2 linked regions of the Xenopus tropicalis genome follow. The protein of the gene in region 1 purifies or fractionates together with the protein of each later gene. This does not show direct contact. Links are inferred from orthologs where the notes say so. Each region holds a gene or a part of one and is shown in the gene's direction. Other genes may lie near its edges.

What was found. Proteins that work in one complex are often made in the same cells at the same time.
Region 2: the proteins of ap1g1 (region 1) and ap1m2 purify together in Homo sapiens (affinity purification with mass spectrometry; 4 studies listed by BioGRID and IntAct, counting the BioPlex papers as one, with this or other methods). This does not show direct contact. The link is inferred for Xenopus tropicalis from reciprocal best matches to the Homo sapiens genes AP1G1 and AP1M2.

Annotation. Positions count from the first base shown.
Region 1 is NC_030680.2:59,344,669-59,348,239, forward strand, and holds part of ap1g1 (AP-1 complex subunit gamma-1), read left to right. Parts: coding exon 1-184; intron 185-654; coding exon 655-779; intron 780-1,848; coding exon 1,849-1,990; intron 1,991-2,716; coding exon 2,717-2,813; intron 2,814-2,906; coding exon 2,907-2,983; intron 2,984-3,571. UniProt on the Homo sapiens protein: Subunit of clathrin-associated adaptor protein complex 1 that plays a role in protein sorting in the late-Golgi/trans-Golgi network (TGN) and/or endosomes.
Region 2 is NC_030679.2:138,232,251-138,235,821, reverse strand, and holds part of ap1m2 (AP-1 complex subunit mu-2), read left to right. Parts: intron 1-237; coding exon 238-385; intron 386-566; coding exon 567-693; intron 694-1,849; coding exon 1,850-1,992; intron 1,993-2,125; coding exon 2,126-2,197; intron 2,198-3,305; coding exon 3,306-3,464; intron 3,465-3,571. UniProt on the Homo sapiens protein: Subunit of clathrin-associated adaptor protein complex 1 that plays a role in protein sorting in the trans-Golgi network (TGN) and endosomes.

The DNA of each region.
Region 1 (3,571 bases):
ATTGCGGGAGCTTATCCGTACCATCCGGACGGCACGCACTCAGGCAGAAGAGCGGGAAATGATCCAGAAAGAATGTGCTGCAATACGCTCGTCTTTCCGTGAAGAAGACAACACATACCGGTGCCGTAATGTGGCCAAACTGCTGTACATGCATATGTTGGGGTATCCTGCACATTTTGGGCAGGTAAGACCCCATTAGTGTTTTCCTTGACATTTTAGTGTGACAGTGAGTAAGATCAGATAACTGCACATGTAGGACCTAACTCTCCTTTATTATTAGTGATTATTCTTTATTGATACAGCACCAACATATTCCACAGCATTTTACAGAGATTATACATCATTCCATGCACCATGGTTCTCCATTTTGCATTCACACACTATGGTTAAATTTATGAGAAACCAGTTAACCTGCCGGAGAAGTTCCCCAACAAGATCAGGGAGAACATACAATCTCCTTGCATATAGTGCCCTGGCTTGAATCAAGTGTAGGGCCCCCTCCCCCCCCCGCATTTAATAATTATTAGTAATATTGAAGTGGCTGTTTAATCACAAATACACCAGGCAGTGTTTAAAAATGTTAAATGTTAGTACATTTTAGGGAGGTATCATAATAATTACATTTCAGCTATTTATTTAGATTTTTTCTTTTAGTTGGAGTGCTTGAAGCTCATAGCTTCTCAGAAGTTCACAGATAAACGGATTGGGTACCTGGGAGCAATGCTGCTTCTAGATGAGCGACAGGATGTCCATTTGCTGATGACCAACTGCATTAAAAAGTAATGTGTGTTAATAAGTGTGATGTTGGGAAAAATGTAGGCCTGTTTTTTTTAGAACTGAGTGGATGAACAGTGCCAGTGACTAGGGGTCAGCAGAGAGTTGAGTATACTATGCTTCTCATACCCTTGAGATTGCTGAGATGCTTAAAAAAGGTCTATAGTAGAAGTATGATGGCAGTGTATTGGTTGAGGGAAAGGTGGTTTTCAGTTGCTTTTTTTTCCTTACTTTTCTTGGCAACCAAGCCAAAGTTTTAAGTGTGTTTTTGTAGTGTCCTTCCATGGATAAACACTGGCCGCAATGTATCATATCTTTAACTAAGTAGGAAACTAGAAAAACATGCAATTAGTATTTAAAAATGTTGCAAGAATATGCGCTTGTCCAAAAGCTCAGCAAAGGGGATGTTTGCAGAAGTGTTGTAAAAAGTTGGTGCTAAGTAAGATTTGTGACCATTATAGCAGATAGCCCTCTTAAGAAATGACCTAAATCTGAACAATAAAGCAGAAATGACTACTGTCTTCTCCTTTTAATTAATGATCATATATGCTTGTGGCTCTTATTTGCATTCATTTGCCTTAGACACTTTCAATTCTACTTCAGCCTTCTGTTTAAACATAAAACATAGGAGATATCTCCCCAACCACCCACACTTTTGACGGACCAGTAAATTCTCATTGCCAGAAGTGGGTAGCATGTTGAAGCCTTTAGACATGGTGTAATCAAATAAATCCGAAGCACCAAATGTAGGCCAGTATTAGAGGGTCCTTAGTCTAGCAGTATACACATTTTGCAGTCAGAAAACCACATAGCGACCTTATGTTCCATTGTTCAAATGGTCATTACCTATAGTATACTGAGATAAACAGCTGTTACTTGTGCCAAATGTTTTACCTTTCAAGATGGCGAGGGGTGGGTTAAGGCTGTATTAATAGAGGCTCCTCCTTTTAGAATCACAATTTCTCTTCTTCTGCACTCAGTATTACCATTTATAAAGTAAATGTCTATAGCATATAGGATGATAGACACTTAGCATTTCTAAAAGCCTTAACGTAACGCTTGTCTTTTTCCTAGTGACTTAAATCACAGCACACAGTATGTGCAGGGCTTGGCACTTTGCACACTGGGTTGCATGGGATCTGCTGAGATGTGCAGAGATCTGGCAGGAGAAGTGGAGAAACTACTCAAAACATCAAATTCCTACCTACGAAAAAAGGTATTGCTGGATTATGTATATGCATATACTTTTGGATATATATATATCTTATATATATGAGACGGTTGAAAGAAGTTCATATGTAATAAACATAAAACATCAAACTGTTATGGTTGGCATGCTATACGGAATACTAAAATGTTGTCAGGTCTGAAAAATGTGTAACATATCAGATACGCATGTGGAAATGTTCCCATTCTCCGTTTAAGTGGCACAACTCTTAAGGTGGCCATACACGGGCCGACTATAGCTGCCGATATCGGTCCCTTGGACCGATTCGGCAGCTAATCGGCCCGTGTATGGGGAGAGCAGAGCAGCCTGGCCGACCGATATCTGGTCTGAAATTGGCCAGATCTCGATCGGCCAGGTTAGAAAATGTGGTCGGATCGGGGACCGCATCGGCTCGTTGATGCGGTCCCCGATCCGACTGCCCCATTGCCGCCCACATAATCCGATCGTCTGGCCCCAGGGCCAAACGATCGGATTATTATTTTTTTTACCTAAATGGTCCCCGATATCGCCCACCCGTAGGTGGGGATATCGGGGGAAGATCCGCTCGCTTGGCGACATCGCCAAGCGAGCGGATCTGCTCGTGTATGGCCACCATTAGTTCCAAGTCTCCAGCATTCCGCATAATAAATCCTATACCTGTATTTACATTTCCCTAAAAGTTAGTTATGTGCATTATTTCGCTATTTATTGTTTCTGCTTTGTTCATGTGTCCAGGCGGCATTGTGTGCAGTTCATGTCATCAGAAAAGTCCCAGAGCTCATGGAAATGTTTTTGCCTGCAACAAAAAACTTGCTGAATGAAAAAAACCATGGTATGTAGAAAAAGGATTTGGCTTTTGACACCAGTATTTTGTGATTATTGTCTGTAATATTAAACTTCTGACAATGTTTTGTTTTCTGCATAGGAGTGCTTCACACCTCCGTTGTGCTTCTGACAGAGATGTGTGAGAGGAGTCCAGACATGCTCACTCACTTTAGGAAGGTAAGATATATAACTAGAGGCTTTTGATTTGTGTATGTATGGGTTTAATTTTATATTAGCAATGTGATTTGTACATTTTGTAAGCCCAGTTATTTGATCTCAGCTATTTTTTTATTCTTCTGGTTAATATTTCTCGTAGTAATTAAAAATAAAACAAATGGTGGAGCAAGATTTATATGTGGAGACTTAACTTGCTTCTTATCTATTAAGCACTGAACAGTGCTAATATCTATTAAGCACTGAAAGCTATCCACAAAATATATAAAAATCACTTTTTTCAAATACAGTTAGCAGATATGGTAGCAGGCACAAATCTTCCGGCTCCTGCATTTACACTGTAATGCATGGAAATAATATTTGCAGTATGGATAAATTGGTAAAATGTGGCACATTTTTCCCTTTGATTAGCACATAAGCTTAATGTAAAAAAAAAATGTTTGCACTCAAATTTCCTCCACAAGGATCACTAAATATATTTAAAATATATGGCACTGTGTGGAATAGTGCATGTTTTTTCACTGATGTGATCAAAAGGTTTTTAACCACTGCCAGCACCACCCTAGTGGTTAGTAATAATAAGTAATAAAT
Region 2 (3,571 bases), on another chromosome or scaffold:
AGTTAGGGGGTGGCCGCTACTCATAGTAGGACCCTGTGGAGCACCAGTTGGGAGGAGAAGGGGCCATCTTGCTCTGCTTTCACCATCTTACTGTACTGTTAGCACCTTGCTCATAGGGCTTAAACATAAACCAATCAGCAGGTAGCATTTAAACATCTGATTGCTATGGGTTACTAGACCTGTAAATCTCTGTCGCCAGTTTATAGCTGATCAGACCCCTTTTTCTGTTATGCCCAGGTATATCACTCAGCAAGGAAACAAATTGGATACAGGCAAATCTCGTGTCCCCACCACGGTGACCAACGCCGTGTCCTGGAGGTCCGAAGGGATCAAGTATAAGAAGAATGAAGTCTTCATAGATGTGATTGAGTCCGTCAATATTCTAGTAAGTAAGGGCTGTAATGTTAGTGTGGTTTGAGAGCTGTTCTGCCCAGGGGCCACCTATGAGTTTGTCCCCTATGAGTAATGGCTTCCGCCGTGGCCCCTTCATCCCATCTCTGGCCCTGGTTCCCGCAATGCAATTTGCCCTCTGAGCTCCAATTTAACACTCTATCTTTGTGTTCCAGGTGAATAGCAACGGCAGCGTTCTACGCAGTGAGATTGTGGGCAGTGTGAAGCTAAAGGTCTTTCTCTCGGGGATGCCGGAGTTACGGCTGGGGCTTAACGACAGAGTCCTCTTTGAACTAACTGGCCGTGAGTTGTGGGGGGGAATAAGCCACCCCTCTGCTAATGCACTCTTCCACCATACCAAGCCACCCCTCTGCTAATGCACTCTTCCACCATACCAAGCCACCCCTCTGCTAATGCACTCTTCCACCATACCAAGCCACCCCTCTGCTAATGCGCTCTTCCACCATACCAAGCCACCCCTCTGCTAATGCGCTCTTCCACCATACCAAGCCACCCCTCTGCTAATGCGCTCTTCCACCATACCAAGCCACCCCTCTGCTAATGCGCTCTTCCACCATACCAAGCCACCCCTCTGCTAATGCACTCTTCCACCATACCAAGCCACCCCTCTGCTAATGCACTCTTCCGCCATACCAAGCCACCCCTCTGCTAATGCACTCTTCCGCCATACCAAGCCACCCCTCTGCTAATGCACTCTTCCGCCATACCAAGCCACCCCTCTGCTAATGCACTCTTCCGCCATACCAAGCCACCCCTCTGCTAATGCACTCTTCCGCCATACCAAGCCACCCCTCTGCTAATGCACTCTTCCGCCATACCAAGCCACCCCTCTGCTAATGCACGCTTCCGCCATACCAAGCCACCCCTCTGCTAATGCACTCTTCCGCCATACCAAGCCACCCCTCTGCTAATGCACTCTTCCACCATACCAAGCCACACCTCTGCTAATGCACGCTTACACCATACCAAGCCACCCCTCTGCTAATGCACTCTTCCAACATACCAAGCCACACCTCTTCCATCTGACAACTCAACCAATCCCTTCAGGGCCCCATATCAATTCAGAATTAATTCAAACTATTCCCCAAACTGTCTCCTTCCTTCTTCCCTTATCTTCTATCCCCCTCGGTCATTACCTTCTCCAATATGAGCTACTGGGGGCATAGATCTTCCCGGCTAAAAGCCCAAAACTTAAGGTGTAGCATCTCTATCCCAATTCATTGTGGAGTCTTAGTTCCCCTTTAAAGGTAAAACATGTCACAGCTGTTGAAGTACAGTAATAATAACTGTAATAACTTTTATATTAAAGTTCCTTCTTCAGACAGATTTTGATGCAGTGTTCTCTACTGTTTTCAGCCATCTTTTAACTGTTTTCTGAACAAAGCCCCACCCACCCAGGTAACCCAGTCACATGGCTTTGTCTTTCCTTCAAACACAGGCAACAAAAATAAAACAGTGGAGCTTGAAGACGTGAAGTTTCACCAGTGCGTCCGCCTGTCCCGCTTTGAGAATGACCGCACCATTTCCTTTATCCCTCCGGATGGCGACTTTGAGCTCATGTCTTACAGGCTGAACACACAGGTACTGCATTGTCCCACAGGAATAAGTGTTATAGTTCAACTACAGCAAGTGATTTGTATTGTAGAGCTTATCAATATAGCAGCACTAAACAGTCAGTTTGCTTTTTAACAAACATATTTTATTTGTATTTTAGGTTAAACCATTAATCTGGATAGAGTCAGTAATTGAGAAATTCAGTCATAGCCGGCTGGAGATTATGGTGAAGGTAAGACATGGAGTCTGTCCCTCCCACTGCAGGGTGATAGTGACACAGACAGGAGGGGGCTATGGGACACGGAGTCTGTCCCTCCCACTGCAGGGTGATACAGTGACACAGACAGGAGGGAGCTATGGGACACGGAGTCTGTCCCTCCCACTGCAGGGTGATAGTGACACAGACAGGAGGGGGCTATGGGACACGGAGTCTGTCCCTCCCACTGCAGGGTGATACAGTGACACAGACAGGAGGGAGCTATGGGACACGGAGTCTGTCCCTCCCACTGCAGGGTGATAGTGACACAGACAGGAGTGGGGCTATGGGACACGGAGTCTGCCCCTCCCACTGCAGGGTGATACAGTGACACAGACAGGAGGGGGCTATGGGACATGGAGTCTGCCCCTCCCACTGCAGGGTGATACAGTGACACAGACAGGAGGGGGCTATGGGACACGGAGTCTGCCCCTCCCACTGCAGGGTGATACAGTGACACAGACAGGAGGGGGCTATGGGACACGGAGTCTGTCCCTCCCACTGCAGGGTGATACAGTGACACAGACAGGAGGGAGCTATGGGACACGGAGTCTGCCCCTCCCACTGCAGGGTGATACAGTGACACAGACAGGAGGGGGCTATGGGACACGGAGTCTGTCCCTCCCACTGCAGGGTGATACAGTGACACAGACAGGAGGGGGCTATGGGACACGGAGTCTGCCCCTCCCACTGCAGGGTGATACAGTGACACAGACAGGAGGGAGCTATGGGGCACGGAGTCTGTCCCTCCCACTGCAGGGTGATACAGTGACACAGACAGGAGGGAGCTATGGGACACGGAGTCTGCCCCTCCCACTGCAGGGTGATACAGTGACACAGACAGGAGGTGGCTATGGGACACGGAGTCTGTCCCTCCCACTGCAGGGTGATACAGTGACACAGACAGGAGGGAGCTATGGGACACGGAGTCTGCCCCTCCCACTGCAGGGTGATACAGTGACACAGACAGGAGGTGGCTATGGGACATGGAGTTTGCCCCTCCCACTGCAGGGTGACAGACAGCGGGTGGCTATGGGTACCTCCCAGTGTTGCTGCACTAATTATAATCTCTTACACTTTTCAGGCTAAGGGGCAATTTAAGAAACAATCGGTGGCAAATAATGTGGAGATTTCTGTGCCGGTGCCGAGTGATGCTGATTCTCCCAAGTTTAAAACCAGTGTGGGGAGCGCGAAATATGTCCCTGAAAAAAATGTGGTGATTTGGACAATCAAATCATTTCCGGTGAGCTTCATGGGATAAATGATAATAGTGAAAGGTAAATGTGTGGCCCCTGGGCTGATCAGGGCCCCACAGATGCCCCTGCCTGAATTTACATCAAACACGGTCCC